3 linked regions of the Arabidopsis thaliana genome follow. The main gene of each other region encodes a partner of the protein of the gene in region 3 in a complex. Each region holds a gene or a part of one and is shown on either strand. Other genes may lie near its edges.

Region 1 (3,755 bases), on a different chromosome or scaffold from region 3:
ACCCGCAGGTTGAACATTTCTTGTGATGCTCACAGAAAATGGACAGACACACTGAGCATATGTAGCCCATATCTATTGTCTTCTTGTGGCAAAAGCACCTGCAAATTTTGTACTTAAAACCATCTGTTATATATGCAGAGGAAGACCCGATTAATTGAAGAGTTAATGACTTGATCACTTACGATGCGCGAAAATCTACACCTATGGGTTTAGGAAGTTGTACAAAACCGCGGGAGTGCAAATCGGTTGCAAAGATTGTCTTTTGTGCAAAACAAAACAATCCAGAGTTAGCAGCCATTGAGTATTGAGTTCGCTAAATGAGAGACGAGTCACATAATGGTTTGCGTTTGGACTTGAGTTGCGTACCGTTAGATATTGAAATAGCCCATCCAACTGTTTAGGTGTATGATGTACACCACCAGTTATATAAGATGCCTACAAATAAGCCAGGAGATAACAGCTGACGCATAGGTCCAGTTTGACGAGTTAGAATCATGTATAAAGGAGAAATGATATTACCTGCTGCAAAAATGCTGAGTTCTGTACACCTATGTAACACGAATCAATGGGAACCTAAAGAACCAATTGATGAAGTGATTTGGGTACATGATACTGGATTTAGAGAACATCAAGAACCGGAAATCCCAAAGAACCAATCAAAATGAAGATTACCATCAAGCGTTGGGCAGAGAAGATAGAGTTCATAACAGCAACATACCTGAAAGAATGACAAAACCTTTTAATGAGACCAGACAAACAAGACAAAATCTTGCAAGTAGAAAAAAAATGAAGGAAGAAACATACTGTTCCGGGCCATCTGGGGAACCTTGCAAGCATAAAATCTGTATTTCATATAAACGTCAATAGCACAATCAGTTCTGTATTTTGGGGGTATACGATAGAACAGATAACACATAAGAAAAAGGAGTCTATATTCTCATTAATACTTTAAGCTGAAGATTCATACAAAGCAATCAACATGAAAAGTTTTATCCAAGACAACTGATTGATACATATATCCTACTGAACACTCACCCGAGGCTGGGGATGAAGATGTCCAGAACGGAAAACCCTCTGTATATCTAGAGCCATAAATTAAGTCAACAACAAAATGTGAAGACTGAAAATCAAATACATATATTACCAGATAACATTGATGGCCTTAGACATGCTATAGGTTTAGCTGAGAACAAACATGTCAACCTAAAATGTTCCTTACTTAACCCAGTCTAGAGAGAAAGCTAAGCTTCAAGATCACTGCCAGAACTTATGCAAACAAATCCTAATAGTTTGTACTATATATAGCTTCAAGAAACCTATCATGATGCTATATGCTTTTCCAAGAGGATACAGCAAAGAGCCATGGAGAGTGATCCTGACAAGAGACAAGAAGGTATTCTATCCTCAGACACTTCCTCCTTGCTGAGCTCCTCATCTTTGGTAACAAACTCTTCCAATTTCTTAAGCAAAGAACCAAAAATTGCAGGCATTCCAGTTCCATTGCTCTCGAAATTTCCATGATTTGATGTCAAAGACGAATCATAAATGTAATCACAAGAACTGTATCCAGTAGCTATAACTACAACTTGGTTCAACTGATTTAACCCCAAAACCGCATTAAGAAACGCAAGCACCTACACATAACAGCAGCAAGCTTTCTGCATAAAAATCGAAGCATTGAACAAACAAACAATAGATTCGTTAGAGACACTTACATGAGAAAGGAACTGAGAGAAGGTAATCGATGTAGTGCTCCAGAAAAGAGGATTCGTATCAAGCAACAAAACTAGAAGACTAACATCGTCTGCGACCAAAAAAACAATCACGAGCCAATCAGACTTGTTTCCAGTTTTTGGGATATCTAATCTACATACTTATACGATTGAGGAATGTGAGGGTTTCGAAGTAAGAGGAATTTAATAATAACCTGAATACTGCTTAGAAGCAATGGCAGGCATAGTTTCACAGACGATTCCAAGTCAGAATTTCAGTGTGCCGGGAAATCTTCCCGGTGGGAACGAGATCTGATAATGCTATTTCAGTGCCGGGAAATCGTTTTTTTTTTCTTCTCCAATATATCTTCACAACAGGTCTTTGAGTTTTCCGATTACGAACCAGAGTTAAAGAATGAAATTCTCGGATGCTATAGTAACTTACTGAAAAATTCAAGGATTTTTAGCTTATACAGAAATCTGAAGTGATTTGGTAGGAGCCGGATCCATCAAACGGGTTTGGATCCGAATCAGATCCGACTATAAACGTCGTATCGTAAGCCGGGCTTACTAAGCCCAAATATGGCATTAGTTCAAATTTTTAGATAGGCCCAGTTTTCTTTATGAACTAAACCGCCTTTTACAAGGGCCTTTTGTTTTCTTTGTTCTTTCTTTTGGAAAAGAACACCAAAATCTCAAGGAACAAATTTATTTTTCAAACTGGCTACTGATACGAAATTCAGTTTATTCAAGCTTTATACTATCGGACGTCGATATATTAATTTTAATGGTAAAAAATTTTGGTTGAAATGTTGTTTGTTTCAATACTAAAAATTAGTAAATTCACACATGTCCTGATATCCAATCCATCCTATGAAACTATAGTCATGTTTGGAGATCGTCTTGATATATAATACATGGGGCATAAAAAGCTTACTACATTTTTTTGGGAGTAACAACTAACAAATAAACAAACAAGTTTTTTGGTTGGAAAAAGAAGCAAATCACATTCATAAAGGTTTGATTGACTTCATATAATTTGATTGTTATTCATTTGATTGACTTCATATTATTTTTATTCAGTATTCTTTGGATATATACGCGCATGACAATCGACATGCTAAATACTTGTAATCCGTAGGGTCATGTGTGACTGTCCACTAAGAATCTGAAGATCTAATCATAGTTTTTACTAAAATCATATTAATAATTAACTTGGCAATATTAATGGCGATGGCCATTGGAAAGCTTTTGCATGATGGCCTAAATATAACTTATTGTTTGGTCATTTTCATTAGAAGTCCTTAGCCTCCGAGGTACATTGAACCTCACAAATTCACATTAAACTTTAAAATCTCCTATAGTTTAGTATATGAAAATTATATAACTAAATTCCACCAATGTCTTTATGAGTAAATAATAATCTTACTATCAAGTCAAATTAATATCACTAAAATAAATGTTTTGAAAGTATTATTATTTTTCAACAACAATGGATTATGTGTTTGAATGTGAAGATAACGATTCTGATAGGTAACACAAAGCTTTAAAGTTGTTTTAGCTGTAAATTAGAATGCAAAACTATATAAATAAGTAGTACAAAAAGTTAAAAATAACGTTTTTATAACGCTTTTGTAATTTGTAATATCACGGTACATGCTGTACCAAACTTTGATAATTGAGTTACCATTCAAAATCACTAAAACAAACTCTTTAAATGCATATAAATCTAATCATTAATGCAAAACGTTAAAAGTAACGCTTTTATAACGCCTTTGTAATTTGTAATTATCACGATACAGGCTGTAACAAACTTTGATAATTGAGTTACCATTCAAAATCACTAAAACAAACTCTTTAAATGTATATAAATCTAATCATTATTGCGTAGATTTATCTCAATATACACAAGCCACTATAGCCAGGTTCCGGGTAAGTAGGACAGATAGCAGTCCCATGCATTTAACCTCGTGCAAGATAAACATAAACGGTAGACACACTAGTTGCCATTTTTAGATACAACTCAACAAATAATAATTAAGA
Region 2 (3,585 bases), on a different chromosome or scaffold from region 3:
TAAATCAGTTCCCTCACATCTCGCAGACCAATTCGATTAAAAACATGAACTTTCGGACATATTAAGAGGAAAAGGAACAAACTTGCAGATTGAGGCTTTAACCCAGAATAAAGCTTGATGCTACAGCTGCAAAAAGGACATAACAAAGCAATCAGATGCAAGTGAATATGTGTGAACAGAGACAAAAGTATGTAAATTTAGATAAATTGAAGATTACCTCGGACTCAGAGAAGGCTGGTGAAGCGTTGTATTAAACGAGACCGCCATGGTCGTCGAGCGTGTTAGAGCCGAACACTAGATTTTTTGTTTGTTTTATTTTAAGACTAGAAGAAGTGGAAAAGCTTACATACAGATTGGGTAATTTGTTGAAGAAGATTGGTTTATTGGTTTGCTTAACCGAATTGGTTCACATGTGCAAATTGTATGTGGTTAACTTAGTTTCTGATTTTACTTGGTTCATCCTTCATGAGTAAAATGAAATTTGGAACTTCCGAATTCTTTAATCTGTTTATTATCTACTACAAGTAATTGAACAATAACCAAACAAACGTGTTTATTCAACAAAAGAGTGACAAAGTAATCAACACAACCAGAGAAAACCGACTGATACTAAACCGGTACAGAGAGATTATTTGTCAACAAAGTTCACTTTAACTCTATTAAAGCATGAGCCATATCAACCAATCTCACGATCTCAATGAAGTTTTTATTCATTTGAATCAAATGAAAGAAAAACAAGAAGCAAGTGTGATGTGATGTGATCTAAGAAGTGGGCTTCTCGTAAGAGTTTTGATCTCTAAAATCAGAAATGGCGCTGCGGATCATCTGCTCTACATGTGGTTGCACGAACAAGTGAGTACTATCAAGTACATGAATTATGAATTTCTGAGACGGAGGCATCGAATTGTTCATGTTCACTATGAATTGTGTCATCGGAATATCGCTGCAAACAAACAAAAGATACAAAGAAACAATGAATGATTCAATTGTGTTCATCAAGATTTGCTTAGGAATCGTAACAACGGTAAGAAGTACCAAGAGACGAACACTCCTTTGATTGCATTAACCATAAGTAAAACCTGTAATACAAAACACGAATAATCTGAGCTCAATTTTCATCAAAAGATGACCCAAGAACATCCTCGATAACTCAGAACATAGATGAATGAAAGATTAATCCTTTGTTTCAATTCAAGGACCCCAAATTACTAGATGCAACGATTACATAACTGGGGTTTCGCTACCTAAACACCACAACATAAACTCGATTCCCAAATCTTAAGACTTTAACGATTACAGACCAAATAGAAATAGGATGAAACCAGATCAATTTGGTCTAGAGATCAACCACACACCTGTGAAACCACACGAAGAAGATTGGAGGAATCAATCAAGAGGGTAAGCGATGTTTGAGGCAGAGAAAGAAATCACCTTGATAACGACGATTATTGTCACAGTAAAGGAGAGAAGGATTAGCTTTATAAGATAACCTAATTACAAAACTGAAACAGAAGGTTCGGATCATCTTTTAAGTTATCGTTTATTACATCACTCAAAAGGGTTTCTCACTTTTAAAAGTCAAAGTTCACATGAATTAACTTTTTTTCTTCTTATATTTGAAATTATTCAGTTTCATTGTTACTGTAACCAGTAGTTTACGAGCTTGATTGCTTGTACAAATAATGATCAAGACATAAAAAAAACAGTTAATCTGAACATGTTTCTAAGAAAGAAATAAATACACAAATCTTCCTGCCACTAATCTTACAAACATCACAAAGCAAACACTTTTCCTTGCTTTTTTTCATGTCCACAAGCATGTCGCTGTATCTTTAAGCGTAGTGTCAATAAACCGAAGAAGATGGACCATGTCTTCTTCATTAGTCAGTCCTCGTAATCATCCAGCGCCGAATAAATCATCCTACGAAAAAAAGTTGCAAACAGAAAGTGTTTTAGCTCTCTTGATCTACTTATGGTTAAGCAATAATGGGATTCGAAATATCTTTCTCGTTACCAGAAGATAGTGAGAAAGAGGTTAAGGACAATGTAAGCAAGCTTGAACAGCCGTTTCTTCTTTTCCCAGTTAAGCAAATTGAAGATCTCGGTGACATCTACTAAGTGTTGTCGCTTCGAGTAACTGAACAACGGAGAAACCGAAAGGATATCAATACCACAACATTTGATTGGAGCAAAAGATTGAGATTAGTTGGACTTACAGATGGAAGTTGTAGTATAGATAGGGGAGACATAAGAGTGTCATGAACCAGTGTCCTGTTAGGAGGTAGAATACGCATAGAACTCCTTGAACAATGAACTCCGGTAAAACCACTGAGTTTATTCTCGACGCAGAGTCGTAAGGGTTGATGTAATCAAACTCGAGATCCGCTAAGCAAACAAGCTGCAAATGAAAGAATTCAAATTCAGAAAAGAGAAGTTAGCTTCCTAGAAAATGTCTTCCCAAGCTGTTTATACATGGAAGATTCCGTTTGCTAGCTTATCAGTCTCAGTGACTCCTCTCATTAGAGTCTACACAAACAAAACTAAAGGGTTCACTTCATTATGCCGAAATGGAGCTCATTTATAAAAGAACAACCTGTGCTTAAGGAGGTAAATCCTCAGACCTGACATGAACATCCAACATAAGAACTAACTATGAACCTATAAAAGTGTTTTGAGAAGCCAATACGCACTATATATGTTCCTGAATTTACTCCTTTGATGATAACATTCCCAAAAATTACACCTTTACTTCTTCCAAACATGTGACAAGAACATAAAACCCTAATTCTAGCTAAATCACAGACTACCCAGAAACAAAAAAAAGGCTCCAAATGAATCAAAATGGACAAATATGGTATCATTATAACCGTAAGCGAAAAAATTGGCAAATTCCGATAGAAAAGTTAAGAACTTTGGGTTTATTTATCCTAGAAATTGGGAATCGCACCTGATAGACGATGATTCCGACAAGAGCGATGAGGAAGAAGAAGGAAATAAGCCATGTCCAGATATCTCCCATCTTCCTCCTTTTGGTTCCGACAATTTCCTCGGATCTATCCTCGTTGTTTCTTGGTCTTCTCTCTCTCTCTCTCTCCTCCCAATAATGTTCGATGAGGAACAGAGAGAAAGTTAGGACAACGACTTAGTGGTCGGCTAGTTTTGACAGTTGAGCTCGAGATTCTGATCGGAAACAAAGAAGCCTAGAGAAGGCAGGCACGAGACTCAGCTTCCGGTTCAGTTTCCGGTTAAAATCGAATTCGTTATTTCCCGAAGTACGTACCATTTACGCCGGTTTAATATTTCAGTATTATGAATCTATGATTTATAAGCCATTGGGCCTCTATAGATTTAGCCCAATTAAATAGTAAACAGTTTGGGTTTGGGCACGAGAGCCGTGTAATTTTTGTTGAGTCGTGTATAATTTTTTTTAGGTCATTGTCTTATTGTATAGTTTTAAGGAAATCAAAAATGAAAAATTAAAAACAAAAATGGTACCAGAAACCATTCAATCATGTGATTGAGAAAAGCCAGCTGTTTTCTAGTACGAAGAAAAACAAGCTTCATCTTTTCCATGTATTTTTCTTT
Region 3 (3,755 bases):
AGAGAACTCATATTCGGCTATATGTTTTGAGTTGTAACTTTGGTGCAAATTTGTTTCAGGCACAAAATCAAGAAAACCTAAACGAAGACACCCTACCTTAAAAGACCGTTAACATTTGATATTTGTTTTATTATGTGAATTGATTAATTGATATTAGAAAGTTCTTTCCTTTTTTTTGATATTTGTTTTCTAGCATATCATGATATCGCCTCGAGAATACCTTTGAAAATTATTTTGTTATTGTCAACTGTCATGATATCTCGCTGAACCAACATATAAAACACGATTATAATTTGGTTGACAGATCCTGAACAACAGTAAAACGTACTTAGTTTTCGAGGTTAAAAAATAATTACTTGTCATGATTTCGAATTAAAAATAATAATGGGCTCAATTTGAGATTAAAGAAAGCCCACGCTAAAAGAGGCCTACTAAATGCCCATATTGGATCCGTTATTGTAGCCTTTCTATATATGAATCGAGTTTGCATTTCTGCTATAACGTTCTCTGCATTCACATGATCACATCAACTCAGTAACGGACTCGACATACCCGGACCTGGACCCGACACCGAATCCGAATCATAATGCGACGGAGACGCAGCTCGCTTCTCGGTCTAGCTTACAACGGAAAATATTTACGGTACCGTTTGTTTTCCCTCTGTCGTAGAATTTCTGTCTTCGACACCGGATTGATATAATCGATTGAAAAGACAAGAGATAATGTCTAAAATTGATTCGATGAAGAGAAAAAGATCAATATGGGGAACGATAAAAGTCTCGATCTTACTGATTTTGGTTAATTTTCATATTACCCTGCAAAAAAAAGTATTGTCAATTCTGGGGAATTTTGTTGTTCAGGTGAAAGATGAAGAAGACCCGACTCTGTGTGTTTTTTCTTTTAAGTGTCGTACTGATGAAGAAGATCTGGGTCAATTAGTCATCCGTTATGGCCCAGTTGTTAAGATGTTATCCAAATCGTAAGAAGAAGGCCCGACATGTTTTTGAGACGTTGGTAAGAAGAAGGTCTTGCTTCTTTTGTGCATCCAGATAATGTCTATATGACCAAGGTAAGAGCATCCTCATTGCACATCCTCCAATGAATGTCTTTCATATTAAATAATATTAAATTTAAAGACCCTCTCTCTTTTGACAGGTAAAATGTCTACTATTAAGACACATCCATTTATTATTTTCCACTTTTTTAAGTAGTTTAAAAGTTTAAAGACACCCATAAAAGATATGCAATGAGGATGCTCTAAGGGACCGAGATTATATACTGCTGCAGATGGGGTAATGTAATGCTATTTGTCTTGTGCAGGAGCGTTGGATGTACATTGGTCTCCTCTTGGTTCATACTTTGTGTCACTTGAGAAGGAGAAGAACGTGGCAACTCTTTGGGCATTGAATCGTCTCCCATTCTCAGACCATGTACATTGCACAATTTTTATGAGTATCATAAGCCCAAAAATATTAAATTAATGAATAAAATAACTGATTTGGGTTTAAGTAGTATCACTGGAGTGATTTCTTTGATACCAGTCTCTGATAACGTGGCGGGTTATGATTAGTTGGGAAAACATGTTTTTGTGTGAAAAGAGAGAAATTTTTTTTTTCGATTAGTCGGGAAAACGCATCTTTTCGATTTTGCAATTTTTTTTTTTTAATGATACTAATACGATTTCACCGGTGGAAACAGATTTATTATCAATATTATAAAAAGTTTCAAACAATAAATAAACATTAAAATTAATAGTAAAATATTATTAATGGTACTCTATGAGTACCAACTATGTGCATGCTCTCATGCGCTTTCCTTCCTCATCCTATGGTTTGTCTTTCATCTCCCATTTTGCATATGTAAGAATAATCTTAGAGGCTAAAAGAAAAAAGAATGGGCTCAACGTGAGAATAAGAAAGCCCACATTAAAAGAGGTCTATTAAAGCCCATATTTGATCCGTTATTTATTTGTAGCCTTTTGAATCTTCTACTTTACATTTCCCTTCCTTGACATTAATGATTAAACCAGTGATACCCGAACCCGACACCGAATCCGATTCAAAATCCGCCGGGGACGCAGCTACTCCCTCCGCCAAATAGCTTTCAACGGTAAATTTTCACGGCGCCGGTTGTCTTCCTTCTTTGTTCTTCTCAGGAATCGCTAATTGATAACTTCAATTGGAAGATACAAGACAAAAAAAGAAGATCAATATGGGAAACGGTATTAAGCAGCTCGATCTTACTGATTTTTGCTTAGTTTATCTTGCCAAACAAAAGTATGCCAATACTGTGAAGTTCTGTTGTTCAGGTGAAAGAGGAAGACCTAACAAGAAGATGAAGTATGGTGGCAAGGTTCGTCTTGATTCTTCTCCAGATCAATTTTTTATTTTATCAATTAGGGCTCTTCAGATGGTAGTTAGTGAGTGTAATTGTACTGTCAAATCTCAGGATGATCAAAAGATGAAGAACATCCAAAACGCTGAAGATTACTATGATGATGCTGATGAAGACTCTCGTGATGGTAAGATTGTAGCATACTTATTACTTACAAATGGATACATTTGGAACAAAATTGAATTGAAAAGTTATAATGGTTTTTGAAGGTGAAGGAGAGGAGAAGAAGAGAGATTTTACTAAATTGGAGTTGAAGCCAGATCATGGAAACAGGCCTTTGTGGGCTTGTGCTGATGGAAGGATTTTCTTGGAGACATTTTCTCCTCTCTATAAACAAGCTTATGACTTTCTTATCGCCATTGCTGAACCCGTTTGCAGGTTCGATTTTGATTTGGTGATTATATCAATGTACAAGTTATGATTTTTGTTGTTGATTTTCATTCATTTGTTACTATTTCAGGCCTGAGTCAATGCACGAGTATAATTTAACCCCACACTCGTTGTATGCTGCTGTTTCCGTTGGTCTTGAGACAGAAACTATCATTTCTGTTTTGAATAAACTGTCTAAGACTAAGCTACCCAAGGAGATGATTGAGTTCATCCATGCTTCTACTGCTAATTATGGGAAAGTAAAGCTGGTTTTGAAGAAGAATCGGTATTTTATTGAGTCCCCATTCCCAGAGGTAAGTTCATTAGGCTGATGCTCTGTCTCTGCTCTTGTGTATTTGGATATTGGTTTTCGTTTTTCCATTGCCTTTGCTCAATTGTAAACACAAAACAATCTCAGGTTTTGAAAAGGCTTCTCAGCGACGATGTTATAAACCGAGCTAGATTTTCTTCTGAGGTATGTTGAACTCCTCCATTTAGTTCATTATGTTTGCTTTCAAGATTTTATGCTGGATGGAAATACATACCATTTTTGGTTGTTCTCAACGGTGTTTTGCATCTTTTGTCACCAGTGTGGCAGATATATATATATTTTGATTCTCTCAGGTTCTTGGTTTCATGTTTATATTCCTAACTCCTAAGTTCCTTGGAACGATGTTTCAGTTGGTAAATTAACTCATAATCCTTTTTTCTTAAACTCTTGATTCATTGACTGTTGATTTATTTAATCTAATACCATTGTATTCTCCACAGTATGTCGAACCAACTTAGATTAACTTTTTTGGTAGCCATATTATGGCGGTGATGGATTCTCGGTCGGCAGAACATGCGGTGAACTTGAAGCAGGACCCGGGGAGCTATTGAATGAAGCGGAATTTGCAGCAGCAGCAGAAGAGAAAGAAACTCACTCATTTGAGATTGACCCTGCACAGGTAAATTTCTCCTAATGCTTCTTAAAAGTAATCGAATTGATG

Evidence for each region.
Region 1: XPB1 (region 3) and AT1G18340 share a complex: the UniProt entries of both Arabidopsis thaliana proteins name them as parts of the 7-subunit TFIIH core complex.
Region 2: XPB1 (region 3) and AT1G12400 share a complex: the UniProt entries of both Arabidopsis thaliana proteins name them as parts of the 7-subunit TFIIH core complex.

What each region holds. Positions count from the first base shown.
Region 1 is NC_003070.9:6,311,777-6,315,531, forward strand, and holds the start of AT1G18340 (basal transcription factor complex subunit-like protein), read right to left. Parts: upstream 2,156-3,755; 5' UTR 1,959-2,155; coding exon 1,928-1,958; intron 1,805-1,927; coding exon 1,716-1,804; intron 1,635-1,715; coding exon 1,352-1,634; intron 1,083-1,351; coding exon 1,036-1,082; intron 843-1,035; coding exon 805-842; intron 719-804; coding exon 673-718; intron 574-672; coding exon 520-573; intron 436-519; coding exon 367-435; intron 260-366; coding exon 183-259; intron 99-182; coding exon 3-98; intron 1-2. UniProt on the Arabidopsis thaliana protein: Component of the general transcription and DNA repair factor IIH (TFIIH) core complex, which is involved in general and transcription-coupled nucleotide excision repair (NER) of damaged DNA and, when complexed to CAK, in RNA transcription by RNA polymerase II.
Region 2 is NC_003070.9:4,219,781-4,223,365, reverse strand, and holds AT1G12400 (Nucleotide excision repair, TFIIH, subunit TTDA), read right to left. Parts: upstream 1,540-3,585; 5' UTR 1,356-1,539; intron 1,080-1,355; 5' UTR 1,071-1,079; coding exon of another isoform or gene 1,036-1,070; 5' UTR 997-1,035; coding exon 763-996; 3' UTR 501-762; downstream 1-500. Other genes in the region: CLP2 (CLP protease proteolytic subunit 2), read right to left, coding at 83-126, 218-267; AT1G12390 (Cornichon family protein), read right to left, coding at 1,885-1,921, 2,015-2,137, 2,217-2,398, 2,948-3,019. UniProt on the Arabidopsis thaliana protein: Component of the general transcription and DNA repair factor IIH (TFIIH) core complex, which is involved in general and transcription-coupled nucleotide excision repair (NER) of damaged DNA and, when complexed to CAK, in RNA transcription by RNA polymerase II.
Region 3 is NC_003076.8:16,549,126-16,552,880, forward strand, and holds the start of XPB1 (DNA repair helicase XPB1-like protein), read left to right. Parts: upstream 1-1,993; 5' UTR 1,994-2,211; coding exon 2,212-2,221; intron 2,222-2,308; coding exon 2,309-2,352; intron 2,353-2,448; coding exon 2,449-2,521; intron 2,522-2,603; coding exon 2,604-2,772; intron 2,773-2,854; coding exon 2,855-3,077; intron 3,078-3,181; coding exon 3,182-3,238; intron 3,239-3,569; coding exon 3,570-3,713; intron 3,714-3,755. UniProt on the Arabidopsis thaliana protein: ATP-dependent 3'-5' DNA helicase/translocase; binds dsDNA rather than ssDNA, unzipping it in a translocase rather than classical helicase activity. Component of the general transcription and DNA repair factor IIH (TFIIH) core complex.